Xenopus tropicalis: one gene and its partners. The protein of the gene in region 6 binds, or shares a complex with, the protein of the main gene of each other region. Links are inferred from orthologs where the notes say so. Each region holds a gene or a part of one and is shown on either strand. Other genes may lie near its edges. The genes, in order: usp39, prpf3, lsm6, snrnp40, txnl4a, lsm3 and lsm2.

Region 1 (4,169 bases), on a different chromosome or scaffold from region 6:
GGGTGGAGATATTCACCTTGCTTGGTGATCTGGAAATTTTTCTTGCTGCAAAGAACAACAGCCTGGAGCATCTCATGTGGGGAGACATGAGCCTTAAAATTCCTGGGGTTCCACAGTTTGCGCATTAATTCCCCAAATCTCTGCACAAGCAGGAACATGATATCCCCAGGAGGGCGCTTAATATCACAATAATTCTCTTCCTCCAGAAAGTAATTTCTCAGAGGAGGAACATTGGAGAGAGCCTGGAAGTGACCATAAAGAAATTAGTGTACATTGGCCATGAAATCTGCACTATGGTCTGTGGGAGCAAAAGTGTTTAAAGTGTTTCAGACTGATGAATGTTAGGGCATCCAGTGAAATAGATGAGAGATGATTCTCTGCTGCAGTGAAGGTGAGGTGGTTAACTGTTACACAGGCCCTGTATATTGTGAAAATTCCTACCTGCAAAACAGCATTGGCATAATCATTAGCTTTGATATTGTTAAGTCCCACGATGCCTGGGAGGTAAGTGGTACCATCATATGCTCGAGAAAGCTTGGCCTGTTTGTCTAAGTTACCAATTTGCTGCTTGGTGAAGGTTGGCTTCAGCACATACTGTAGAAGACAAAGAGATAGTTACTAAAAACATGAAAAGCAAAGTTAATATGGGGGGGGGGGGGTGACACAGTTGAACAGACAGAGACAGTATAGAAATAATGTGCACATTTTACAAAGCCCTTTACTTCTGTAAGAACAGCTACCTTTCTCTCTTATGGCCTGAGGCCATCTATGTTCTCAATCCAAGGAGAAACCCAGTCCTTGTTTCCATGTGTAGATTCACACTTATATAAAAAAAAAAAAAAAAAAAAAAAAAAAAAAAAGAACTTTGAAAGACTGTACTGAAGAATGGGGGCCAGCCAAAGGAAGGGGAAAAATGCTAAGGCAACAGGCAGCTAGTGGAGCTAGACATTTCTGCCATCACTGGGCTTATGTTTCCCTGTTACTGACCATAAAATCTGCTTTTTGATGTATGCCCTGCTGTGTGTTGCATGATCAGAGCAGTACAGGTGATCCATGGCTCTTTTGCGGATAATATGCTATTCTACCTTTCCCATCCTAATTGCTGGCTGTGGTTGAACTCACTAAAGGAGACGTATGTGTTGTGATAGACACATCAAGTTAGTGAAGGGATTGTTGCTCTTGAGTATAAGAGTCTAAGAGTATAAGAGTCTTTAACTTACCGACACCTGTGTTATATAAGTCAACAGTGCACTCTAAAAACTCTGGGAACGCCATACCACTTGTACTGGGCACTAAGATTGCACCTTGGGCAAATATGAACTGGGCCATCCTGATTTTTTGTCTTCATATTAGAAAATGCCAAGGTCACATAAACAAATGGGGCAAGAGAGGATGTGCAAGTACCGTAATGTCTTCCAGGGAGGAGTCAATGATATTATAGTTGTCCGGCAGGCAGTAGAACTTCAGTGTGTGCAGATTAAGGAAAACATGGTGACTGAACTGAACACTGTGGATATAGGCATGGGACTTCAAGCCTCGACCTTGGGGGGGGAAAAAAAAAAAAAAAAGAGAAAAATTTGACAAAATAAGGGCTCATCTGAACAACACACTCTGTGCCACTTACTTACCCTGGAAGTATTTCCCGCATACAAGGCAAGCATATGCATTAATGTGAGAAAGAGAGATGGAACACAGCTTCTCAAAATCAAAGTCCAAGACACTCCTGGTAAGAACAGAACCAGTGTTATTTGTGAGCAGTACATAATCAACACAGTCCCAAGCAAAACAACCAGACTGACCTGTTAATGGTATCCAGATATGGGCAATGGCGACTACGTCTGTCTTCAAAGTCATACCGCCCGTGCTTTCCTACAACTGCCAGCATTACATGCACGTGTTATATATATGTTATATGTACAGTTCTGAAGTTAAACATGCACAATTCACCTGTATCACCCACTTAAACTGCTTGGCCTGCAAATCACACTTGGATTGCCAGGAAAACATTATGGAAGAGTGACACTGCCATTACTTGGGCTAAAATCACAGGTAGGGATCAGAGGGTGGCAGCAAATGTGAACCTAGTTTCATACAGAAATTAATGACCTAAATGGTCCAATCAGCCATCCTTGTGTCCAGCTTTAGAGGTACCATGCTGGGACACCATGCACAGACATGGCCGGAGCACTGACAAAACAGGTTTAATGATCCTGTTTTGGGGGGGATTCCATATTTTCTCGGTGGGGGCCCTAGTAATGGTGGGGGCCCCGGTAATGGTGGGGGCCCCGGTAATGGTGGGGGCCCCGGTAATGGTGGGGGCCCCGGTAATGGTGGGGGCCCCGGTAATGGTGGGGGCCCCGGTAATGGTGGGGGCCCTAGTAATGGTGGGGGCCCTTGTAATGGTGGGGGCCCTAGTAATGGTGGGGGCCCTAGTAATGGTGGGGGCCCTGGTAATGGTGGGGGCCCCGGTAATGGTGGGGGCCCCGGTAATGGTGGGGGCCCTAGTAATGGTGGGGGCCCTAGTAATGGTGAGGGCCCTGGAGAAATTCCTTCTCTGACACAGTGACAGACACAAGCGGAGGAAGCACATATTTATTATCCCCCCACGCTAACACATGTGCACCACTCTTTTTCATTCGCTTTTACTCAATCAATCCGTTACACTATTCACACCAAGTCGCATCAATAGAATGAGTTTCCCTCACCTCTCTCATCATCATCATCGTCGTCGTCTTCCTCCTCCATCTCCAGTTTCACCCGCTTCTCAGCGTTCATTCTGCCTCCACCGACTCTCCTGCGTGTCTCGCCTCTCTTTGGACTGAAGCCCCTCCCCCACGCCGCTTCCGTACACTTTCCTATACAACAGGAACGAGTCACGGAACGCTAATGTCAGGGATGCATTGATTGGCTACATTAGCCTTTGTCGAAACAAAAACAGCCAATCGCTATCTCTCCTACAATCGGCTGCGACGGGATAGTTCCTACCAGCGGTAGCTAGGGGGCGGTATTGGGATTGAAAGGGTGCCCGTGTTGGAAGTAGACTAGAGCCGGGAGTATGCAGGAGGAAGTGGAGGTGCAGGGCAAAGCCGGGCCCGGTGGGAGGCTGGATATGAATCACGGCTTCGTTCACCATATCCGGCGGAATCAGATCGCGAGGTAATAGGGCTGGCAGCGGCCGGAACTTTTTCCTTTAAAAAGCAGAAACACTGAGACTGTTCACGTAGTGTTGGCCATGGGGCTGCTTCCATGAAGGTTATACTGGTGCTGTTGGGGCCAATCTATTCATATACCATCCCTGCCATGGCATTGCCTGGTACTTGTGTTCCTAAAGCTGGCAGGACTTCAAATGCACTGAAATATGAACTAGTGTTTCCTTGCTAAATAAATGACAGATTTGCTTCTGAAATTCCAATATTTGTGTAGCCAAACTCCTTTGGGCAGTGGAGGCAGCTGTTCAGTTCCAAAAGGGCTGTCCCATTCATGCTTCTCTAGCGGATTCCTGTTGAGATTTTGAAGTGACCACACCCACTTTTAAAGTCCGCACCTTTTTAAACTTGGATGGGGCTATTTAATAAAAGGCACTAAGTTTTCCCAGGAGCAGCAACTGATGGAACCAGTCAGCAGGTAGAATTTACTGGTCACCTATTGTAAAGCACATATCTTATTGGTTGCTATGGGTTTAGGGTTGCCACGTCTGTCTGTCCGGGTCAAACTCCCTGCCCCATTTTCCAAATGAGGGAAATCGGACAGAACTCCTGGCACCGATCGCCATGTCATAACCCCACCAAATCCCTCAATGTCATAGACCACACCTCCAACATCATCCGCCTCACCCCATGACATCACCGTTCTGCCTCCCACACAGGCATTCCCCAGTCAGAAGATGGCAACCCTATATGGGTTACTGCTCATGGGCAAACTAGGTACCTTTTAGGAACTTTGCAGGAGCCTTGCATGTCAAACTGTCACAGCCATTGGTCTACTAGCATTCTGGGTTGTTTTCAAAATTACTATATACCAGTGTGGGCATGCTCAAAAACAGGGCACTAGCCATTTCCTAACGATTATCACCTGACCCAAGAGTGCACTGGAAGGGCCTAGACTGGTGATTAGTGGTTGGGCATTATAGAACATTTAGTCACCCCTGAGCTGAAATCATGCAGGGGCAA
Region 2 (2,969 bases), on a different chromosome or scaffold from region 6:
TGCATGGAACAGAAAACCTTCTGCTAGGGTCACTGAATTTAAGGCATTGTTACAAAGATTCCAGAAATTAGTGAAACTAGTCTCTAGTGGATTATACAAATCCATTTTAGATAAACTTAAAAACCTTGGAGCAGAATGTCTCTATAGCTAAGGTCTGAATGTGCCATTGAGTTTATTGCAGAAGTATACATGTAGGAGCAGACCTAGCCACTGAGTATACAGTCAAGCCCATTCTACCTAAAGCAAGTTCACATTTGTAAACAGAATAGGCGGAAATACTAAATATATGTATTGAGAATGAAACTTAGTAATATACCATTTACAAAGATTTCCACAGGAAAACTACACCCCCCAAACAATGTAGGTCTCTATAAAAATATTGCATAAACAAGCAGCCCATATGTAAAACCCTGCTTCATCTGCACTCCTAAATAGAAAATTGCCATTTTAAGTACTAAAGGCTGCCCCCAGGGATCATAGGATTCACGGTGCACACAAACAAGCCAAGGCACACATAAATGCTAGGCCCCATCAGCCAATTAATGGACAGAGTTCTGCCTTTTGCTCCCACACTACTTCCTGTTACAGTTAGAGCTGCATTATTTCCTGTCAGCTGATCTCTGAGGGAGCACACAGCCCATCACTAAATTGTGGCTCAAGGGAAAGGATGTAAAAGGGTAATATTTACTGATATACTATCTATCTATAACTATCTGTTGGTTAAGTATTCATTCTGGGGGTATAGTTTCTCTTTAAAGGTAAAAAAAAATGCCCTTTTTGACATTCAGTTGGGCTTCGGTTAACCTTAACCTTTAGAAATAAATGTATATTTATTTTTACACAGCTAGACTTCAGAGTAGGAATTCAGAAGATTCTGGGACATGAAGTTCTCTGCTTTGCAGAGAATCTGTGCACTTCCCAGCATGGAAAGCATAAGAACTTCAAGTCCCAGAATCCATCACTTCAACATGGAATAAAGAGAAGGAAAGGTTAAATGCGTGCCTAATGGGGACAGGGGGGTATGGTCCATGCAACTCAGAGGCTGACTGTCATGGTTTCCTTTCCTGTATATCTGCATATAGAAACAGAGCTGAAGTGCCTCATTTCCCTTCCAATTATCATGACAAATTTTCTGATTGTTTTTTAGGGTACAACTAAGGAACGCAGCTTTGGAGACATGAAATTCAAACAGTGTCCCACAGAAAATATGGCTAGGGAACATTTTAAGAAACATGGAGCAGAGCATTACTGGGATCTGGCGCTTAGTAAGTCTGTTTTGGAAACTGCAGACTGAAAGCAAGTTCTGAGCCTTACAACACTGCTGCACTTCTCCAAACAGAAGGAAAAAACAGACTAGGACTATGAGCGCCTTAACAACTTGCAGCGCTCGCAACTAAATCTAGCTTGAAACACACTGTTTCTTGCCCAAGCAAAGTTATCCTTCTCTTCCATCTTACTGTAATTCTGGGTAACCTCAAACACTGCTGCCGACCAGTTTAACCATAGCAACCTGCTCTTGTCCAGCCTTTGCTCACTGATTGTAACATAAATGACAGCCACTCTGCAGCCTTTACCCCTACCCCCAGTTTTTTTTTCTTTTCACATAAAAAGGCTTTATGCTTCAACTCTGAAGAAATGCTGTTTTCAGAATGATTTATTTTGGTAAAGATAAGCCTTATTTTGGTTGGTTCATACATGCAAACAGAAAAAAGAAAATGTAAATACATGGGAAGAATGAAAAACATAGACCATACATAATGGGAATTGGGATTAAGCATTCAAACAACTCATTACAAAATCCATATGGTTAAAGGAGAAAAAGATACAGAAGCCAGTAGGGTGTAGGTAGTATTTGTAGCCTAAGTCCACCACAGCCCTTTAGCAGTAAAGTTCTGTGACCCCCTATCCTCTTTTCTGCTGATTCACTGAGCATGGGCAGTGCCACTGACACTCATTAGATGGCTTACAAATATCAGAAGATGGAGAGCTACTGTGGACAAATTGGAAGGCAAGTGTCATTACTGTTATAGCTGCTAAACCTCTGGGCTTGCACAGTAAGTTAAGTGTTTAGAAGGCAGCATTTTAACCATATTTGTTCTTAGTTCTCCTTTAATTCAGAGAAGCATCCTCTAGTGTTGAAAACATATGCATTTTTTCCAATTCAACTTCATAATTCCTTGGTTTGTATTAATGGTTTAAATAGTTTCGCCTTACAACCGGAAAGGTTGATTTTCAGCTTTGCGGATAAGCTCCAGTTTACATGGATTCATCAAGCACCCTGGACAGGACAATTGGCAAGAAACCTTATCCTATAGATTTGACTCCATGTTTCTTTATTGTGGATTGGCATTCTGTTGGCAATTTGTTTTGTTTAGCACAACAGAACTTCAGAGTGAAATTTATAAAGTGGAGTGTAGGAAAAGGGGGATTTAGCCCTAAACCTATGACATAATAAACTTTTTTTTTTTTTTAATTGTTGTGAAAGTTTTTGTTGGTGTAATTTCATCATGTGCGGGGGGGGGGTAGCTGTGTGTATGGCTCTTAATACATTAAGGTGCTCATGAAACTGGGACGGAAGCAAAAATGTAAATGGGATGCTGCTATTCCATACATTTATTGGGCTCACTGCTGAAGTACAAATGTTTTGGGAGAGGAATAATTCTCCACTCACCTCCCAAAATGTCCCGACCAGTGACTTGGTTATACAGCACCATTCATATAATATTCATGTCCGTCCCTATGTCTGTGCAGCTCACAATCTAAGGCCTATATGTCACACAGATTTTGGTCAGTTTCATCAGGAGCCAAAGAACCTGGCTGGTTTTGAAATGTGGAATGAACCAAAGTAGCCAGAGGAAACCCATGCAGACACATGGGAGAACATAGAAATGCCTTACAGATTGTGCCCTGGCTGGAATTAAACCTCTGACCCCTATACTGCACCCAATAAAGGTTTAGTACAGCACATT
Region 3 (4,242 bases), on a different chromosome or scaffold from region 6:
AAGAATACGACCCAAACGTAACCCTGATTTGCATATTTAAATTTAAGCAGCATCTGTGGGAAAATGTATTGCTTTGGAATGTGCAAACTTTGAAGTGAGGGAAAATACGTATTATAACATGGACATGAAACAGAGCCAGAATGAATTTGTAAAAATACATTTTTCATAATCCTCATTCCAAATGTTGATAAAAGATAGATATAAAAGGAATTCAGGTTGCCTTTTACTTTAAGCTTTACCTCGATAATCGACTCCAGAGTTGAGCTTTACAACCACTGGTCTTCCAATAATCTGCTTTAAGAAGTCACTCGGTGTTTGTTTGCGCAGGCTCATTCTAATTCCCTTTCACTGTAAAGAAAGGTTTCAAGACAAAATAATTCTCTTATTGTTATATAGTGCCAACATATTCCTCAGTGCTTTACAGATATTATATATTATTCACATTTTCAGACCAGCATTTTTATATCAGTTGCAGTTGGTCATTATTGTCAGTTTGATGATTTAACAGCACAGATTAGTGCATTAGAACTGGCAAATCTGCACTATGATATGGTATACAAATAGACTGCCGCTTTGGTCCAGAATTCACAGCAAACATTGTGGAGTATAAGTCCTATTTTAAAGAATATAAACTCTACAAACACTAAACTCTAAAAGAAGCAGGCTAGAAATGTTAAACTTTAGTTTTCTATTAAACTATTCCACCAAATTTAACCAACAGCAATGACAATCCATTCGCCTGCAGTTGGTTAGAAATATCTTCGTCTTAACTAGCCTTTAAAAGGAAAGCCAGGAAAGCACTATAAGAGATGTGTTCTAAAAAATCAGAAGACAAAGCAGTTAAAACAGGGTTAAATCACAGCTAACTGGAGGCTCTGTATTCCTCAGTGTCTACAGCAGAATAAGGAGTGGGCACTATTGATGTGCGGGCTGGCCCAATACCTGCAGGTCAGGCCGACCTTGGCACATCACCTGCGGGTCGCGGGTGGGCTTCGGGTTGAGTGCTTCCGGTCAGCCTCCATGACCGAGACCTAACAATGCTGATATTCCGATTCCAGCTTGGGAATTTATAGGTGCGCGCCCGACATGCCCCACCCCTTCGTGATGTCATTGCGGGGAGGGTCGGGAGTAGGTCTATAAATAAAGGGAAGAAGCTGGGTCGGGTAGGGTTGGGAGCAGGCGGGTTAAGATTGGGTATTTCTGTGTTGGTAAAAGTTTCATGTTTGCTTCAGTAAGACTATATAGTTTATATAAATAAGCTGTTGTGTAGCCATGGGGGCAGCCATTCAAGCTAGAAAAAAGGAGAAAAGGCACAGGTTACATAACAGATGCACGCTTTAGAATGGTACAATGGTAATCTACACAATTTATCTGTTATCTGCTATGTAACCTGTGTCTTTTCTTCTTATTTTCAATTTGTACAGCTACCCCCATGGTTACACAGCAGCTTTGTTTATATAAACTATATTCGGGTTTCTGAAGGAAACACACAATGTTTACCAGTGTAGGGCACTAGTACATTATATTTTAATTACTTTTATATGCTTTCATTTTTTGTGTTACTGTTCCGAGGATTTATGTACCGACTCCACAGTCCTCAAATTCCCTGATATATTATTGTATTTATCAAAGGTTTTTATTCAGTGTCTCTTATCATTTCTAAGAAATACTGTGCTTCCTCAGCCTAAACGTTTCCTACTACAGGTATAGGACCAGTTATCCAGAATGCTAGCGACCAAGGGTATTCCGGATAAGGGGTCTTTCTGTAACGTGGATCTTCATACCTTAAGTCTACTTAAAAAAACAATAAAACATTAATTAAACCCAATAGGATTGTTTTGTATCCAATAAGGATTAATTATATCTTAGTTGGGATCAAATACAAGGTACTGTTTTATTATTACAGAGAAAAAGGGAATCAATTTAAAAAATCTGAATTATTTGATTAAAATGGAGTCTATGGGAGAGGGGCTTTCCGTAATTCGGAGCTTTCTGGATAATGGGTCTCCGGATAAAGGATCCCATACCTGTACAAACATATCCACCATGGTGTCTGTCAGCAGTCTGATACAAATGTGACTCATGCTGGTATCAGCCAATTAGAGCAGAGGAAATCTGTCAGTGACAGCCTCAAGCATGTTGGTTACTGCCAGAATAAAATATTAAGTGGAAAAGCTCACTGATAACATAGATATATTAGGGCTTACATACATTAGGGCTAGAGCCCAACACTGACACACTGTAGCTGGGCTTAAACTTACAAATGATTCTAAATCTATAAGTAAGAAGCTCCATCCCTCTGATGTAGCAGGGAGATCTATACAGCCCCTGTGAGAGGAGCTCTCATGTACTTGGCACTGAGCCCCTCTAGTACAGCCTGCTGGTAATCAGTATATTGCTCAGGAATTACAATACCCACCTGCCGGGAGCAATACAAATATGTATCAAGAAAAGGGTGCCTGTAGCAAATCTACTTCGAAACATTATAGCTGAACAATACATAATACAATCCCAATGTAATGCAGCGGCCACACACCTGGGATGAACTACAACTCCCAGAATTCGCTTCGCATAGACACCGCGGGAGCCACACATTTAGGTTAATTATTGTTGTTACCTACTTTTCTCTGAACGTAATGAGCACTAACCATACTAGATGGTGTGCATCAATGCAAATACTACAGGCGGCCATAAGCCACCCTGTAATTCTCACCCTGTATCCCGTGCGATGCCTTTTCTCCCGCCTCTCTCCTTCCTACCCCTTTTTACGGTGTCCGTCTCAGGACAATCCAAAAACAAGCGAAAGCCGTGTGCGCCGTACGGAAGTAAATCGGGTTCCTGAATGAGGCACCGCCTACCGGGGGTCAAAAGGGGACGATGACGTTAACACGGGAAATGATGCGTCCAATCAGGGCGAGAGGCGGCGCTGTGGCTCCTCTGCACCTCTTGTATGTAGTAATGGCTGGGATATCCTGTATGTTTCATGGCTTTGAATCCCTGCACCATGCCATTATAAGTCATTCTAGTAAAGAAACCTCGCCTCCAACTTTAAAAACGTGTTCTGATTCAGCATTACTCTTACTTGCTAAACGTAATACATTTCTTTGAGTTGACGCAAATGTATACGTATTTTTATTTTACATATATTTATTTTTGTATCTATTTTATACAGGCACATGCACTTTACTTATGGTAAGCTACTTTGATTTTCTGAAACTTCCCATATAATCCTTTCTGATTGAAGGGTCAGTTTACTTTAATCAGCCACACAAAATGTCACTAGCATCAAAAATGATTACTAATACTGATAAGCTGTGTGTGGCATGACATTATTCAATTGGAGCCTGGTATTATTCATCTGAAATCTTTACTGATTCATTACCTGCTGTACACCATGTATTTGCAAATATCCTTATTAAAGTGGTGAATGTCATGGCACCTAATGGTCCCTGTACACGGGCCAATTCTAGCAGCTAATCAGCCCGTGTATGGGCACTACCGATGGGCCTGCCCGACCAATATCTGGCCTGAAATTGGGCCAGATATCGATCGGGCAGGTTAAAAAATCTAGTTGGATCGGGGACCGTATCAGCTCGTTGATGCGGTCCCTGGAACGACTTCACCTATACCCGTCTTTATAATGCGATCGTTTGGCCCCAGGGAATTAGCCTGGATTCTCCCCATATCGCCCACACGTAGGTGGGGGATATTGGGAGAAGATCTGCTCGCTTGGCGACATCACCAAGCGAGCGGATCTGAAGGTGTGTGGGCACCTTAAGAAATATATGTGCAGTCACCAAGAGGCCAGTGACTGACACCAAATTGGAAATCCTGCAAATTGTTTATAAGCATGGTGTGGGGGAAGCTCACTCACTCCTCTAAATTGTCACTTTATACCTGTCTTTATTGCTGTTTAGGTCTTCTCTGCTTATAACTATAAACAATTATACAATATTTTTTTTTTTTTGTTTTCATTCATTTGGTAATTGCTGGGTAACTAGCTTTCACATCCAGAACTTGAATCTGCCCTGCAACTGCCATGAACCCACCCATGCAAACATAGGGGATGAGGAGACGCTCTGTGAGCGTAACTGTTTAAGATTCCTCGGAAGGAATTAAAATGTACAAAAATGAAAATAACTAATATGATATGCAAATAAATGAATTAATTAATTTAATAGCTAGCCAAATAAGCAAAGAATAAGCGAACTTGGCAGCTAAATAAATAATCTGCTCACCAAC
Region 4 (4,169 bases), on a different chromosome or scaffold from region 6:
ATGTCCACACCTTAATAAATGACTGCACTTATTACCCTCCCATTCATGTGAATAAGTTTCCAACCTTCTTAGATGTTAAGACAGGACAAAGAACTCATTCTTCTTGTGTCTCAATGTGTGGCACTCAATCTCTTTAGCTGCTAATATTTTATTTATTGCACTGTAATATAAAAGTATTGTAAAAAAAAAAAAAAAAAAAAAAACAATTGCATATAAAATTAGAGTCACATAAAGATATATATACAAATATGTATATTTCGTAAGTCTCTGAATAATGAGATAAATACGCATAACATAGGGCAGGGACACTTTCATTCTTTTTCACTGCAGGTTCAAACCCATACACTGTGTAACTGGGTCACTGTGACAATAGATTTGTAATACCTTATAGTAATCATGGCTGCTACAACACATAGGGCTAAGGAAGTCACCCGAAGTTTCCTCTTAAGGCAACTTAAGGCGACTTCAGAAAATCGTAGTGACGCATATGCCATCCCACCGGCGATTTACATTCCTGCTGGTGGGATGGCATAGCAGGGAGATTAGTTGCCCGCAGCAACAAAGAATTGCTGCGGGGCGACTAATATACCCGTCTGTCACCTCTCTAAATTTACAAATACGCTTGTAAATGTGGCTCTATGTGCAGAATAACATATGGCCTTAATCCTTAGCCTATTTACTAGCGTATAAGCCAATATCACCAGTGATGTTGCACATAGCAAACAATCAGCAATTAAGAGTTTAGCAGTCACCTAAAAGTTAGAAATCCAAAGCAAAGATCTGATTGGTTGCTAAGGGCCACATCACCACCAATGATGTCGACTTACACACTATAATAGATATGCTCCATATAGAAGAGAAAGTGAAGGCATGTCCAGCCTATGAATCCTTCAGTGTGCGCTAACAGCATGTAAGGCACCTAAAGCCAACAGCCCCTTTTACTGGAGTAGACAAAATTACATGTGATGTGCCTAAAAAAATTGAATCACCTGCAGAGAAATATCAAGCTGCGTTAATAATGGTTTATGTAATAGCCTATTAATCTTCTTCTAACTGACTTGTTATATATTTTACCTTTGATGGGCCGCCATTTCGCTGTCTCCTCCCCGGCCGATCACATTTAACCAATTACAACAACTTCTACGTCATTTTCTCTTTCTCCTGTATCAGCCCAGTTGCTTAAACATCCTTATACGCGCAACCCCGCCCATCGTACGTCATTACTAATGGACAAAATCGGCGCAAGCTCTGTTCCGCCCCTTAAAGGCTTTCAAGGTCACATGATTGTCTTAGAGCCAATCACCACTATAATCTTTATCAGGTAGTGACTGCGCAGGATAATTGCGTGAGCATCCTGCGCTGCTGAGTGGGAACGCAAGCGAGTCTTACAGTGTGGCTGGGTTTGTGAGTGTTAGACAAGCTGGAAGGAGTTCTTGGAAACATGATCGAGCAAAACAAGCGGAAGGGAATGGAGTTGGTGCCGGTACAGGCAAAAAAACCGAGGAACGAGTTGGTGGTTTCGGTAAGAATGAAGAATTTGAATGAAATGGTTGGCTTGGATAAGTGTAACCATTCATTCCTTGGGCATATTTGACTTGGACTTTAGGTAAAATTATAGACATAATCTAAATCGTACCATTATTTCCTTTATTAAAAGATTTAGACGGTATAAGAATAAGCTAAAAAGTGTAATCATAAGGCTCTAACGTCTGAACATAGGTAGGGGTATAATTACTTATAGTATTGACTCGTCTTGTGCACCCCACACAGCCATTAAGGACCTTGTGATTACACTTTGCTACGCTAATGGGTTGTGGTTTTTCGTTTATGGGACTTTCTAGTTGTTTTAATGAAGGTAATCAAGTTAAAGTTTTCTTTTTTAAAAAAAAAACTTTATTTCCAAAAGTTATAAATAGTAAATAAAAAGCTAGTATTTTTACTGCTATGGGACTTTCTCTTAACCCATTTTCATGCCTTTTTTCTGAAAGGGGTAGTTCAGTTTTAAAATGTCCTTTAGTATAGTGTAGACAGCATGACCTTAGTCTGTATATCTGTTTCTCATGTTTTAGTTTGATTATTTCTTCTGCGCCTCTAAGGTTTGTTTGTTTAGACCTCAATTCTCCTAGCAACCAAGAAGTAGATTGGAACTCAAAATGGCAAATAATTAGGGAAGGATCTCAATAGACTGATAAACAATAGGCAATATAACAATAATACTAAAACTGAATTTTAAGGGGAGAAAATATGCCAAAGAGTAGTTAAAAGAATACTGACGTGGAACGTGTCAGTATTACTGACAATGCAGCACTTGGTTGGGCTTCCCCCAGCCCAAACACACTTACCCCATCCCAACACTACTACACGCAGAATGTTACTTTAACGAGTTGTCTGTCAGTCACACTGGCCTCCATGCAATCCTTCCAACGGCTGGAGTACAGTTTACATTTGTATTCCTGCCTATAGAATGATGGCACCACCCACAGCCCGCATGTCTGCAGGGAGCATCTCTTTATCCAGACTGCTGGCTTAAAGGAACAGTAACATCAAAAAATTAAAGTGTTTTAAAGTAATTAAAATATAATGTGCTGTTGCTCTGCAAAAAACTGGTGTTTTTGCTACAGAAAAGCTACTATATAAATAAGCTGCTGTGTAACCATGGGGGCAGCCTTTCAAGCTTGAAAAAAGGAGAAAAGGCACAGGTTATGTAGCAGATAACTAGTAGATCAGCCCCATATAATGGGGGTTTATCTGTTATCTGCTAAGTAACCTGTGCCTTTTCTCCTTTGAATGGTTGCCCCCATGGCTACACAGCAACTTACTTATATAAACTATAGTAGTCTTTCTGAGGGAAACACACCAGTTGTAGCAATGCAGGGCAACAGTACATTATATTGTAATTACTTTTATACACTTTCATTTTTTGGTGTTACTGTTCCTTTAACTCTGCCTGTGGTAAGTGTGACTGGGCTGGAGGAGATTTGGGGTAAATCTTCAATAAAAGCAGTAGTGTTGTGCTGCATTATGGGTAATACTGACAAGTTCCTTACTGTTATAGGAATGTGTCAGTGCCCCTTTAAAATAGAATAGAAATGGTAATTTATAGAATACTAAAAATTTAAGGTGAATAAAATATTTCTTTAGGTAATAAATGGAACTGAATCTACTTTGATGTTTAATTCTCTGAACTTGTTGACTGCAGGGTCCCCCAAGATCATCCAGTCTTCAGGCTCCCATCATGCTGCTTTCTGGTCATGAAGGAGAAGTTTATTGCTGCAAATTTCATCCCAATGGTGTAACTTTGTCTTCTGCAGGATTTGACAGACTTATCTGTAAGCAACTTTCACTTGTTTTATACGCTTTGTATTTTGCAGCTGTTTGACTTAGTAGCAGATGTTGTTTTTCATCTGTAGAATCACACAATTAATTGGCCATCTATACGTTACTAATTAAGGATTAATCTGCACCTCCTGTAATTTTGTTATGCTTTTTAGCTCCTTTTTAGCACATTATCACACTATACAAGCTGTAACATTAATTATGAATGTTACAACTGATCAGATTAAGAAAGTTATGCAGGTATGTGTTATTTTATTTTTTCTTTTCTTGTAATATTTAATCAAATTAAATAAGCTACCATGTTTTGGCAGGTTTGCCCAGCAGGTAACTTATTCTATTAAACAAAGCAAGTAAATTTAGCAGCACACATGAACTTCTTTGTAGGTATTTAACTGATTTGCAAGAAAACTGACACCGTCTGAATCTGGAATTTACAAGGAATATGAAACCATTTAAACTTTAGTTTTATGCTGCATTGTACATTAATAACAATTAGAATTTGAATCCAAAAATGAAGCTATGTATTTTACCCTTAAATTGTGAAGTTATTGAGTGAGTTTATTTTGACTTGCCTTGTAGTGCTATGGAATGTATATGGCGACTGTGACAATTATGCAACTTTGAAAGGACATAGTGGAGCAGTGATGGAGCTTCATTACAATACAGACGGGAGGTAGGTAATTGTCTGGTCTGGGGCTTATGTAGTCATTTTTGTTTTACGGGTACTGAAAACTATCCTGTGTATTACACATTGGTGGTACTAAATTATGCATACTAATTTCTGTAAAATTGCAAAGACCAGGATGCCAGACACTGTAATATCTTTGGTTTAT
Region 5 (4,181 bases), on a different chromosome or scaffold from region 6:
TTGGAGCAAGGTAGAATAGATTTTTTACTTTAGTACTTACTTTTTTTTTTACTTTTAGTGTTACTTTTCCTTTAATCATTTTTAGAAGCAATCAGATTAATCAGTGGTTTTCATCCAAACAGACCCCCCCCAAGGATAAATAAAATAAAAGTGATTGACTTCTGAGGATTAGAGTGTTTATTTATGTGTGTTGTGAGCATTACACAACAGCAGAGCTGCTAAGTTCTCTGGAAGCAATGCCACCAAGGGTTGTTGGCCAATCAGAGGCAAACAAAACTAACAGCATAAAGTGTGATTGCAAACAAAAGTTGTAAATGCCATCGCCACTGGACTTCAGAACAGTGGAAACACATTCTCTGGAGTGCTAAATGGCGGTTAAATACAGCTTGACACAGTTCCCCAGAAAGAAATTCAAAACTCTCAATACAACTGTATAACATTTTTACAGTTATATTTATTAAAGGGTGAGTTTTTATACAATGATAACTAATAACTAAAATGTTAACTAATCTCTAAAAATCCAAAAATAAATAAAAGAGCTGTGAAGGAGAAGATAAAAACACTGTAGTGAAGGAATACAGCACTGTACAGTCTGACTGGTAAATGTTAAAACATAACTTGTAGGAATAAAATACAAATCATACTCCCCCCCCCCCCCCCCCTTAAAAAAGATCCTTCAATCACATGGATAACTTTCTTTCACAGGCAACAGATATTAACCAAATAATGCAGCTAACTGTGCTGTCACTCAGCATCTGCCTTCATCATGACCTAGCAGGCTAATATTTCATACCAACACTGATGTAAGAACAGTCTTAAAAAAGCATAAAATATTTTGTAACTTAAAAAACAGCAACAGCCAAAAGCTTAGATACAGACAGAACACAAGTCAGCATAACAGAAATGCATATATGATGCACCATTTATCACTCGGAGCATGATCTAGCCATGTGGTAATGCACTAAGCACCTAGCTTATCTCTGCACCAGAAGAAATACCTTCAAAACAGCAGTTACGGCACCATAGATGAGGTAACAAGAAACACCATAATCAATAAACAATTTCCACACACTTAAAGGGGAATTAAACACCCCAAAAAGCAAAATACTGTACAACTGCTCAGAATACTCTTCTCAGCACTTTTACTATTTACACTGAACATTTTAAGATATAAGCACTTTGCAATAATAATATAATTTATTTGAAACCACACAGCTCCCTACTGTTCTGATCAGCTGGCCATCATAAAATGATGTTACTGAGTTACTCAGTAGGCAATATCATTGACCAAGGAAACCTCTCTGCTCAGTAACTACCTTAACAGAGCACTGCAGTTTTAAATTCATTATATCAGTGTACATTATAAAAGTGCTCAGAAGAGCATACTACCAATTTTACATTAATTTCTTTTGGGGTGTTTAGGTCCACTTTAACATTTATATTTTTATGTTCTAACTAAAAATGTAGGCAAATACCAAAATAGATATATAGTAATAACATACTTCATCACAAGATATTCGATTAATGGGCCCAGTCCTGTGATCTTCAATCACCCCAGACAGTAGACCTCGAACGCAAATACAGCAAGGCAGTGTATGTGCTTTGGGATGCCTGTGAAATAACACAGAATATACAGAATCTCGCCTTTTCTATGTTTTTTCTTTATTTCCAAACATGAAAATACTTAATCTTTGAGGTTCCATATGTAGAATCATTAGCACTCACACAACATTGGCCAAATTTGCCTTTGGGCAGTTACCCATAGCAACCAATCCATGATTGGCTTTTTCAGCTAACTGCATTTAGAACAATGAATGCAACAACTTGATTGGTTGCCATGAGTTACTATTCAAGAGCAAAGTTGCCCAGTGTTGATAAATGACCCCCACCGTTCTCAGAAAACATATGAACAAATATTCCAAGGGGCCTCAACCTACACAGCACCCTTACTTGATGGAATGATGTCACAATTTTTGCTCTTCTACCCCTCTCTCTAAACTAAGGCTCCCTGTAATGATCACCAACTAAACTGGTAAAAGAAATGATCCCCTTTTTATATAGAATAATTTACCACTAGAGCATTTCCTAGTTATTTTCTCTTAAATTTGCAAATGTATTTGAGTCGTGCATTAGCCTTTACTTTCTTCATCCTAAGTTCAAGCTGAATATGCTCCATACTCTGTTTAAAAGCGGCATCACCATAACCCTCTGTCTCCTGGTTGTGACTTTAGATCAACATGTTTCCTGTAGAGCTCCATTTTCTTATTTACACTGCTATTTGGTTAGTAGGGGTGTTGACCAAAGTAACCAGTCAGTGGTTCCAGTCACTGGCTTGAAGATAAATAGGAGAAGGCCTGAATCTATATTAATATGTATGAAAAAGACCCACTCCTGCCAAACCATTTTTAACTATGCCTTGAACCAGCTAGAGAAATCACACATGTGGGGGGTCCCCACCACTTATGTCCCCAAAGGGGGGGGCAGCTGCTGGAGGAATGCTTAGAGGCAGGTGTAGGGGATAAGGCGGCAGGCCCATACATACAGGCATCTGGACCTTCTACCTGCCTGAACCTTTTTTAATCCAAACCCACCTGACCTGCAGGTCTTCGATACACTGCTATAAATATATCTTACCTTTTCAGCTATACTGTACAAAACTTCATCCATCTTCATACAAGTTGGATCCCAGTCATGGCCAAAACGTATAACTAAAACTCTGTCTTCCTCAGACAAGATTGCCTGGTCGACCTGCCAGCCATTGTGCAAATGAGGAAGCATGTACGACATTTTGGCAGCTTTGCTTTAAAGCTAAAAGGACAAGAAAAGAAGTATTGCAAGAAATGAAACACTTTTCTCAAATGCGTGAAGATACAAACATACTCCCATCTACACTGACAGGCTAACATGCTAATACTTTCAATTAAAAATTATCTGGGCAAATTTTAAATATTTTTAATGGTTAAAGAGTCCGAAGTATCCCCCAAGATTATAGTTTACAGATGAGGATACAAATTGTAGCGTAATGCTGCTCGTAACAATCCGACATGAATCTGGGAAATGTGGGGCTGCAGTAGAGGCAGGGGGATTGCCTGAAGGCCACTTTGGGTGAGTATTGGTGCAAATTCATGTGAATCAATAGCAAGCTCCTGAGTTATACCAACAAGCTGCCCCAAAGCCTTATATATATATATATATATAGGCTACATACCACCCAACTGTGCTGATTTAACTAATACAGTCCGCAGTCCCGTACGGTTGTTTAAAAGTCTTGCGGTGCTGTTGCCGTGTAGCCCCTCGCTTCCTGCCGTACAGCGAGCCAACGCACCGCAAGTCTCATCTCGCGAGAAGGTGACGTCACATCAATACTATAAACGTGGTTACGCAGCACGTAGCTGCCTTGAGGCCAATGTCAAAGGAAGATGGAACTTGAGTTGAACATGTGCTGTTTCTTTTCTTTATATGCACAGCCCAGTAGCTGCAGCTAGAGCCTATGCCCCAACAGAACCTTTAAATTAACTAGATTAGACTAGACTATTTAAATTTAAATAGATTTAGCTTATGCCAGGCACAGGGAACAGAGAAATAAGGCTTTTAAGTTCCTGGTTGTGGTCATACCCCCCCAACTGTCCCGCTTTTTACGGCGCATCCCGCTGTCCCGGATAGTTCCATGAATGTCCCGCATTGCGGGACATTCATGGAACTATCCGGCACAGCGGGATGCGCTTGCTGTAGCCAGATGTTCTTGCTTCTTCTGCGGCTTCGTTATGCCTCTCCTTGTGCAGCGCGACAGGCCCTTTTATAAGGTTGCGCCTGTGGGTGTGACGTCATTACGCACGGAGCGCAACCTTATAAAAGGGCCTGTCGCGCTGCACAAGGAGAGGCATAACAAAGCCGCAGACGAAGGCTGCGCCTATGGGAGGTACTGTGTATTGGGGGGGGTACTGTGTATTGGGGCACTGTGTATGGGAGACTATTGTGTATGGGGGCACTGTGTATGGGGGGGCAAAACTGGTACTTAGTTATAACTCACTTATAACTGACTGCCTTCTCTCTATATTTGTATTTTAATGTAGGAGTTGCTATATTGTTTTCCTTAGGTCGTTCAGTATGAGGGTATAGCACATTTTCATCTGCGCCCGCCATTTGATCTATATAAAAGGGGTATTTTTTTAAAAATGGGG
Region 6 (4,015 bases):
TTTTAGTATGATTCAATTTATAGTTTTCAGTTTAAACCTAGTCCTGTGTTTCTGCCTCTATCTTAAAACTGTTTTTGCTGGATACATAAGAGTTGCCTGTATATTGTTTAACCCCTTAGCTGCAAAGTAATAATCATCTGCTTTTACCACAAATTCTGGTCCCCTTTCTTTTGCAGATGGTGCCGTGATATATTAGCCTCCTTATAATTATGATATTATAAAAAGTACTTTCAAGGAAATGTAAACCCAAGAAAACAGTCTCAAAACTGCCCAGCACTCTATTCAGAGCACTTTTGCAGTTGACTTTTTTCCCCCCCATGTCTTTCGAAGGTTTACATTTCCTTTAAACGAGTAATGGCACTTCTGATTCTATATTCCAGTGAATAAGTTGCAAATATTTAGCAATAGCAGTCTTTTAAGCCACACAATCAAGTGTCAGTGCTTGCAGGGGTACAGAGTATTTGCATGAGTTTAGTAACTCAGCATCCACAGGACCTTTGGGGGGGGGGGGGGGGGGAAGTGTGAAGGGCAGCAGGTCCTCAGGCAACTAAACTCAAGCTTGCTTGATCATTTGTCAATATATGAGAAGACTTGTCATATCTTTGTTGTGCTGGCTCCAAGAACATATATTAGCCAATGCCCGTCTGTTCCATTGTTTACTTTTGCACTTAACCTAGCCCATCAAAATAAAGACTTGTGCAGGGAATGTTAATCTAATGATTGTGATCTGTTCCTCTCATCCACTGACTGATTTAATGACAAAAACGGTCAAGCCCATCTGATCAAATGTTGGGACAATGCAGTTGAAATGATCGTATATTTTACAATCGTTTCCCCCTGAATGTAACAATAAGTTAATAATAAAGCAAATTTTATTGGTTCACTGTAAAGGTGGCCTTACACGCTAAGATCCACTCGCTTTGCGAAGTCACCAAGCAAGCGGATCTTCTCCCAATATCCCCATCTATGGGTGGGCAATATCAGGCTAATTCGGTCGTTTGGCCCCAGGGTCAAATGTCCGAATTAGGACGACGGCCATAGGCGTCTGTCTGTTTGGGGACTGCATTAACGAGCCAATGCAGTCCCCGATCAGACTGATTTTTAAACCTGCCTGATCGAGATCTGCCCGATGTCAGTTGGGCAGGCCTGTCGTTAATGCCCATACACGGCCAATAAGCTGCCGAATTGGTCTAAGGGACTGATATCGGCAGCTAGAATCAGCCCATGTATGGCCACCTTAAAACTGGTTGTTTCACATGACAAAATCTGCTTGTGTATGGGCACCTTTATTGTTTTGAGCAGTCAGATTTGATCTACAGTTACCAAATAGCATTTCTTTTCTCCCCTGCATGGGATTGTAAGGTCTGTGGGGCAGGGACCTCCTTCCTCTTGTCTAGGACACTTAGCACTATACCTTTAATGTAACTGTACTATTTGTATTTTAATTATAAATAAAGCCCAGAGTGTAGTTTCACTAGTGTGAAGTACAATACTCTTGTATTTGTGTCTTGTTGTTTTTTTATTATTATTTTTGACACTGGCTAACACGGTACTACAGTTTTTGTTTTGTAACCTGAGCTATTAAAACCTTACAGTTTTCATTTTTTGTCTTGTTTGAACTTTAGATTTAAGGAATGCTTGTGGTGTCTTTAATAAAAAGCCAAAATGACAGACTTAGGTTATAGATTTAGACCCGCTTGGGCAGCCAATAGGGTAGTGAACCAGCTGCCTAGCCAGTAGTTATTTAGTTTGCTCCCAAAAACATGCACCACCTCCATACAGCTTTCAAACTGCTGAGCTTTGGCAGTGATGAAATGTATGTTGTGTTCTTCCAATCAACATGGATTGACACATTAGTAAATTAGGAGACATGTTGGATAAATGGGAAAACCCCTCATTTTGTAGGCAATTATGAATAATATCCGGTGCTGGTTTCATTTTGGGCTAAACATTAACCCTATCTGTAACAATGGCCCCTTTATTGGAGCTCCCTATAGATCCTCTCAGGTCCCTGTCTGTGTTTCAAATGAGGGGTGGGCGTGTCCTAACGGTCCCTGCTAGAAGAACAGTAGGAGGGGGAGAGCCAATCACAGCCCTGCACTCACAAAAGCACAGACAGGCTTCAGTTCCCTATCAGGTCAGCCTAGCTGCTGATTGGTTCCTATCTTAGAGTGCCCCGGCTCCCCTGCACATCCAGAGAATTCAGCCAGCAGGAAGTGGAACAGATGGGCGGGGCTAGTGGGGTTTGGGGGGATTCTCAAATCAGTCCGAAACAACTTTTTTTTTTTTTAAGCACAATCCTATATCTAGGAGTATAATTCACTAGTATATTCTTAAATTTTATAGGATGTGTCCCTAAAAAACAGGAGTCAAGAGTCAATTGGGAGATAAACTCAGAAATCTGAGGTATAGAAACTAAAACAAGCCTTGTGCTTCTATTGTTTGAATATATTGACGCCATCAGCCACACAGAACATACATTTCATTTTACTCCTGACCACAACAACTGGGTTTTTAATCAGATTTACATCGCTAGTTATGAATATAAACACACTCCACCGGTGCTTCACGATTAAAAAAAAAAAAAGGCTTTGAAATAAAAGAGAAAACAGTCCAGTTTGAATAAACATTCACTTAATTCCCCGCAACATAAAAAAACCCTATACGCGTTCCCAAGCGAGACCGGGCCAGGAGCACCCCTTATGCCGCACTGCGCCGAGAACCGAACAGAACCTGTTTTCCAGTCTTATAAACCCACATCCCTACCTGCTCTCCGTCGTCCGCCATCTTCAAAACCCCGCGCAAAGGAAATAGCCGAGAACCCTGACAATTCTCCTATCGCGATATTTATGTGCCACAGGAAGAATGTGAAGCTCGGCCAATAGCGTGAGAGTATGGGCAGTAAGTGGCGGAGGCCTGGATGTGACGCTTGGCCAATAGCGTGAGAGTATGGGCAGTAAGTGACGGAGGCCGGAATGTGTAGCTCAGCCAATAGTGTGAGAGTATGGGCAGTAAGAGGCGGAGGCCTGGATGTGAAGCTCGGCCAATAGCGTAAGAGTATGGGCAGTAAGTGGCGGAGGCCTGGATGTGACGCTTGGCCAATAGCGTGAGAGTATGGGCAGTAAGTGACGGAGGCCGGAATGTGTAGCTCAGCCAATAGTGTGAGAGTATGGGCAGTAAGAGGCGGAGGCCTGGATGTGAAGCTCGGCCAATAGCGTAAGAGTATGGGCAGTAAGTGACGGAGGCCGGAATGTGAAGCTCAGCCAATAATGTGAGAGTATGGGCAGTAAGTGTCGGAGGCCGGAATGTGAAGCTCAGCCAATAATGTGAGAGTATGGGCAGTAAGTGGCGGAGGCCTGGCAGCGGGGTGCACATGTGTATGTTCCGGAAGTGACGCGTTAATGTTATTGTCTGAGACAGATTGTTTCCTGTTGTGTGGGTTATACAACCAGAGGGGACATGTGAGGTAGAATTGTGGGGAGATGGCAAAGCGGAGGGGGTCTGAGGGTGCTGCGGTAGCGGGGAACAAGCAGAGAAACCGCCCGGCAATAGACTCCCTGCATGGTGGTGAGTTTCTATGGGGTCTGCATGTCTATAGAGATTTTCATTCATCTTGTGAATGATATACAGTAACACGTAAAATGAAATCTAAACACAGACTTAATTCACAGACTTAAATAGACTTAATTCTTATAGGTACTGTATGGGGACACTGTGCAGAGTTTCTAAATAGGCTGGGAATAATACTGTAGTGAGTGCAGATTGAACCCTATGGGCATCAGCCCTGTACTATTCACTATACTGGTTTTAAGATTCTTCTATGATTGCTAAGGTAACCCCTAGAAACCAGATAAATTAAATACAAACCTTGACAACATAATTCAGAGACCAGATGAAATAAAAAATAAAGACCAGTTGCAGATTGTGTTAGTATTATGCCATCTGGACAATATTAAAAGATAGGCAGAGTTAGCCCTTGAATTGTGCATGGGCTTTTATTTCTGTGCTAAATGAT
Region 7 (4,285 bases), on a different chromosome or scaffold from region 6:
TTAAACCAGTAAAAATCATATTACGACAAAATTAAGAAAGGCAGATACAAACAGAAGGAACTAGCTTCACTAAAAAAAAAAAAAAACATGAGCTGATGACTTAACACAAAATTTATTTAAGTAAAAAAAAAAAAAAGTTAGGGCAGTCTTTCCCAATTAACTCTGCTTATCTGAGACCACTTCTTTGCAGAGCAAAATGCATTGCTTGGATTCTAAAGTGAACACACAAGTCACTGCACTTAAAAAAGTTTCCAGAACTAGGATGAGAAAAAAAAGTGTGGGTCTCTTACAGAAATGTAATGCAAAACCTGTATAACAGGTAACAAGTTGCTGCTCACTCCTATATTTGGCCTTATAGAAATATAGGCAGTTGACAACACCTAGTGCTGCTTGTGAACCTGCTTCCATCCTTCTAGCTCTTGTACATCACTGCTTTTGCTGTACAGCTTCTTTCCGTGCAGCGTCCTGGAGAAGCTGAGTGTCTACTTCATCAGCAGGGAGCTGTACATAGCGGACCACAGATCCCCGAATGAAACAATTCTTTACAGACAACTAAAAAAAAAATTTTTTAAATAATTACATTAACAAGTGTTTCAAAGCAGGATTAAAAGCTAAGTATCTAGTTTACTGGTGCAGATAAAAAATACAAAGAAAAAAAAAAAAGCTTACCATGTGTGGATATTTTTCTGGGTCTGTTACACTGATATCAGTCAGCTTAATGTTCAAATACTATAAAAAAAAAAAAAAGTGAAATCTTGTTTGAGATAATGAAAAACACAAGTTCCCCCCAAAAGTTCTATTCCAAGACATATTCCTCTATGCAGAATGCAAAAGATGATGTAGCACACTGATCACACATTAAATAAAGTGATTTATTGGCTTAATTAGCAGACATCTACTGGGAACATTTCAGCCAGTCTGAGAGTGACCCAAAACATTGCAAGAGTCGGTGCAACTTAATGCAACCACAATAACGGATCAGTGTGCTACAGCATCTTTGACCCTGGGCAGGTGGGTCTACAGACTGTTTAGCACCAGACACCTGAAAAGGTACTACGATAACAGGTAGAGCAGAGATATTCCTCTATGCAAACAAGCCCTCTAGGGTATAAAAAAAAAAAAATATGAGCAATATTCTCTTTGGAGAATCTTGTAGTAATTATGTTAATAAATATTCCCTGGTTTGACATTATACTCTGCAGGATGCGTACATTTTATTAAAGGCTCTGTCCCTTCAGGGGTTGTTCACCTTTGAATGAACTTTTAGTATGATGTGGACAGTGATAATTGGAGACAATTTGCAACTAGTCTTCATTATCGCAGTCTTTAATTAAATTTAGCTTTTTTTATTGCAGCTCTCCATTTTGGAATTGTAGGCGCTATCTGATTGCTAGGGTTTAATTTAACCTAGCGTTGTGGAAATTTCAGTAATGGTAAAGTCATTTAAAAGAAAATTTTCACTTTTTCATTTTTTTTTTGCCAACCCAACATTTTTCCCTGGCACTGAAAGATTTTATGCCAATTTCAGTTGCAAGGCTTAAGTGACAACATGGCTGAGCTGATAATTATGCTGAGAAAATAAACTACATTTATATATTTGCTCAGTTACTTACCTGATCAACTGAGTGTAGAGTACCACAGATACTGCAAGAGATAAGACCATTTATGTAATAGTGCAACAAAAGGCTAAATGGATGAAAGATGGCTAAATGGTAAAGAAGTGGTTATTTAAGGGTGTGAAGTCTACAGGAGCACAAGAAAATGTTTTTATAAATTCTGTCTACACAATACACTCTGCCCTCTAAAGTTTGACAATGGTCAGGGGGACTCTAAGTGCTGCTGCACCCACCGTGCTTACCTCTTTTGTGTTGGGCACATCACAAGTGCAGAAAGCACAACTGCACACACTGCACTAGGTTTAAGGGCTGTGACACACAGGGAGATTAGTCGACACGCAACAAGAAAGATTTGTTGCGCGGCGACTAATGTCCCCGTGTGTCACATCCCTTAAAGTACAGAAATTAGGTTCTTGAAATGTACCAGTGGCAGCTTTTTGCCTGACTGTATAGCATGTGGGGGGGGGGGGGGGGAAGCAATTCTAGAAAGAACATGGGGCAAAACACTCACCTCAGATCATTCTTCAGCTCTACCACCACATCCTTTCCTACAAGAGACTTGAAGAAGGAGTAGAATAGCTGTACATGATAAAAACAAGTAGTTATAAAAACCAGTTGCCTCTCCTGTAGCTTACCCAAGGCACATCACATAACAAATGTTGCCAAGATCCTTTACAGATCAAGGCAAAGCATGTTCTCTCATAAGACACAAACAATAACAGAGACAGACAAGTTGTTCTGTCCAACTAACATCAGGTTACAAATGATTGAAATGTTGTTGCAAAGCAGGGATGGCCAAATTCGAGCCCTCCCACTGCTATAAGACTACAAATCCCAGAATCCTGGTATAGGCAAAACATGGAACGTCAAAGCAGGGCATGGCCACTCAGAAAGCTGACCTTGCGACTATAGGGGGGGGGGACTGATTGCCAAACAGGTCTGTATACGCTGGTACACCACAAAATACATGGCTATCGACTCCTTAGGTTCTACCCTACAAAACGTGAAACAGTAACGGAACGCTAGTGTTCTTAAGCGGTTACCATTGCTTCTGTTGCAGTCGCACCACCCAAGCTCTATCTGGAAACTGAAGAACAAAACAGACGCCGCTGACAACGACAGATCTACACACCAAATGCCTTCCGCTCATTCACCGCTCTAGCGCCTCTGCATAAATCTCGCGAGAATTTAAAGCAGCAGGAATTTGCGCGCCGGCTTCAGGCACCGGCCGAATGAATGGGTCCCACGGTGATGACGCAATCATGATCTCGCGAGGACAGAAAACATTTTTTTCATGTAACTTTCTTGAGAAGTCCCCTAAACGTATTTTATCCCTGAACAACTAAAATACGTTAAAAAAAATACAGGTTTTATAAACTGGGAGCAGGTACTAAGTGTAACAAAGTATAGATTAGTTTATGAAACAGTAGAATAAAAATGAACTATATTAAGGTTAGGCACTCCACATTAGATCTGTAATGTCCAACCTTAAAATGTTTTTTTATTTTATTGTTTCTTCTGCCAGCAGAATTCTAACCTAGGGCCAAACTAGCGACAGTCAGACAAGAATCAGATTTATCTCTCCTTGTTCTTTGGATCCCTTTTTTGTATTTTTTTAATCCCTAACCTTTGGTTTGTCACTTGCCCACCTCCTGCCCTTTTTGAGCTTCTGCTCAGAGAAAATGTCCCTTGTACCAGTTTATTAAACAACTTTGGATTCCAGGTGTAACTACAGAGGCTGGAACTGCATTCTGACCCACAAACACAAACTATCAGTTCTTGCACAACAAACATCAATTGTAATGTTAAGGACCAATAATTACCAACTCCAGGTACAAGGCATGAGGGTTACGAGATAGCTAAAAGGAGTTACGCTGTCCATACCTGGGCTAGTTACTGTTAAAGGAGACATATCCTATAAAAATTATGAATGTGCCAGTGAATTATACTCCTCTAGATATAGAAGGAATGTGCTTAAAAAAGTTGTATTTCAGACAGATTTATTGAGAAATTCCCCCAAAACCCCACTAGTCCCCCCCATCTGCTCCACTTCCTGCTGGCTGAATTCTCTGGATGAGCTGGGGAGCCAGCGGCCCTCTATACACTGCACTGTAGGATAGGAACCAATCAGCAGCTAGGCTGACCTGATAGGGAACTGAAGCCTGTCTTTGCTTGTGTGAGTGCAGGTCTGTGATTGGCTCTCCCCCTCCTACTGTGCTTCTTGCAGGGACCGTTAGGACACGCCCACTCTTCATTTCAAACATGGTCAGAGAAGAGAGAGGATCTATAGGGAGCTCCAATAAAGGGGCCATTTTTACAAATAGGATTAATGTTTAGCCCAAAGGGAAACCAGCACCGTATATTATTCATAATTGCCTACAAAATTAGGGTTTTCCCCATTTATCAAATATGTCTCCTTTAATTTACCCTTCATATAAGTCGGTTCCATATTGGTCTGTGTAGGGACATTGCAGTTTTCATTTAAAAATGGTAATTATCTCAGGACAAAACAAGACAAGGAGACTGGAGGAACTTGGTGCACCTTAGGACGCCTGTCCAGGTTGTTTTGTAGCTCTACCCCTCCCACCCAAGCCTGCAAGCGCACAGGTCCCACAGCTTGGGCTCAGGAAGGATGGAGAGTGCAATGGAAGTGCAGGTCCTAACTTGGC

What was found.
Region 1: lsm3 (region 6) and usp39 share a complex: the UniProt entries of both Homo sapiens proteins name them as parts of the U4/U6-U5 tri-snRNP complex. The link is inferred for Xenopus tropicalis from reciprocal best matches to the Homo sapiens genes LSM3 and USP39.
Region 2: lsm3 (region 6) and prpf3 share a complex: the UniProt entries of both Homo sapiens proteins name them as parts of the precatalytic spliceosome. The link is inferred for Xenopus tropicalis from reciprocal best matches to the Homo sapiens genes LSM3 and PRPF3.
Region 3: lsm3 (region 6) and lsm6 share a complex: the UniProt entries of both Homo sapiens proteins name them as parts of the precatalytic spliceosome. The link is inferred for Xenopus tropicalis from reciprocal best matches to the Homo sapiens genes LSM3 and LSM6.
Region 4: lsm3 (region 6) and snrnp40 share a complex: the UniProt entries of both Homo sapiens proteins name them as parts of the U4/U6-U5 tri-snRNP complex. The link is inferred for Xenopus tropicalis from reciprocal best matches to the Homo sapiens genes LSM3 and SNRNP40.
Region 5: lsm3 (region 6) and txnl4a share a complex: the UniProt entries of both Homo sapiens proteins name them as parts of the precatalytic spliceosome. The link is inferred for Xenopus tropicalis from reciprocal best matches to the Homo sapiens genes LSM3 and TXNL4A.
Region 7: lsm3 (region 6) and lsm2 share a complex: the UniProt entries of both Homo sapiens proteins name them as parts of the precatalytic spliceosome. The link is inferred for Xenopus tropicalis from reciprocal best matches to the Homo sapiens genes LSM3 and LSM2.

What each region holds. Positions count from the first base shown.
Region 1 is NC_030679.2:125,759,335-125,763,503, reverse strand, and holds the start of usp39 (U4/U6.U5 tri-snRNP-associated protein 2), read right to left. Parts: upstream 2,801-4,169; 5' UTR 2,776-2,800; coding exon 2,706-2,775; intron 1,876-2,705; coding exon 1,800-1,875; intron 1,724-1,799; coding exon 1,629-1,723; intron 1,542-1,628; coding exon 1,405-1,541; intron 595-1,404; coding exon 442-594; intron 243-441; coding exon 17-242; intron 1-16. Other genes in the region: UPF0561 protein C2orf68 homolog, read left to right, coding at 3,056-3,156.
Region 2 is NC_030684.2:127,685,432-127,688,400, reverse strand, and holds the end of prpf3 (U4/U6 small nuclear ribonucleoprotein Prp3), read left to right. Parts: intron 1-1,147; coding exon 1,148-1,294; 3' UTR 1,295-2,469; downstream 2,470-2,969. UniProt on the Homo sapiens protein: Plays a role in pre-mRNA splicing as component of the U4/U6-U5 tri-snRNP complex that is involved in spliceosome assembly, and as component of the precatalytic spliceosome (spliceosome B complex).
Region 3 is NC_030677.2:58,334,625-58,338,866, forward strand, and holds the start of lsm6 (U6 snRNA-associated Sm-like protein LSm6), read right to left. Parts: upstream 2,801-4,242; 5' UTR 2,714-2,800; exon of another isoform or gene 2,537-2,713; intron 1,130-2,536; exon of another isoform or gene 943-1,129; intron 349-942; 5' UTR 334-348; coding exon 240-333; intron 1-239. UniProt on the Homo sapiens protein: Plays a role in pre-mRNA splicing as component of the U4/U6-U5 tri-snRNP complex that is involved in spliceosome assembly, and as component of the precatalytic spliceosome (spliceosome B complex).
Region 4 is NC_030678.2:79,149,906-79,154,074, forward strand, and holds the start of snrnp40 (U5 small nuclear ribonucleoprotein 40 kDa protein), read left to right. Parts: upstream 1-1,369; 5' UTR 1,370-1,441; coding exon 1,442-1,522; intron 1,523-3,199; coding exon 3,200-3,329; intron 3,330-3,915; coding exon 3,916-4,009; intron 4,010-4,169. UniProt on the Homo sapiens protein: Required for pre-mRNA splicing as component of the activated spliceosome. Component of the U5 small nuclear ribonucleoprotein (snRNP) complex and the U4/U6-U5 tri-snRNP complex, building blocks of the spliceosome.
Region 5 is NC_030682.2:96,972,581-96,976,761, reverse strand, and holds the start of txnl4a (thioredoxin-like protein 4A), read right to left. Parts: upstream 2,801-4,181; 5' UTR 2,788-2,800; coding exon 2,635-2,787; intron 1-2,634. UniProt on the Homo sapiens protein: Plays a role in pre-mRNA splicing as component of the U5 snRNP and U4/U6-U5 tri-snRNP complexes that are involved in spliceosome assembly, and as component of the precatalytic spliceosome (spliceosome B complex).
Region 6 is NC_030680.2:132,918,360-132,922,374, forward strand, and holds the start of lsm3 (U6 snRNA-associated Sm-like protein LSm3), read right to left. Parts: upstream 2,801-4,015; 5' UTR 2,788-2,800; coding exon 2,767-2,787; intron 1-2,766. Other genes in the region: xpc (DNA repair protein complementing XP-C cells), read left to right, coding at 3,483-3,567. UniProt on the Homo sapiens protein: Plays a role in pre-mRNA splicing as component of the U4/U6-U5 tri-snRNP complex that is involved in spliceosome assembly, and as component of the precatalytic spliceosome (spliceosome B complex).
Region 7 is NC_030684.2:75,103,095-75,107,379, forward strand, and holds lsm2 (U6 snRNA-associated Sm-like protein LSm2), read right to left. Parts: upstream 2,801-4,285; 5' UTR 2,663-2,800; coding exon 2,660-2,662; intron 2,196-2,659; coding exon 2,128-2,195; intron 1,645-2,127; coding exon 1,614-1,644; intron 730-1,613; coding exon 670-729; intron 553-669; coding exon 427-552; 3' UTR 94-426; downstream 1-93. UniProt on the Homo sapiens protein: Plays a role in pre-mRNA splicing as component of the U4/U6-U5 tri-snRNP complex that is involved in spliceosome assembly, and as component of the precatalytic spliceosome (spliceosome B complex).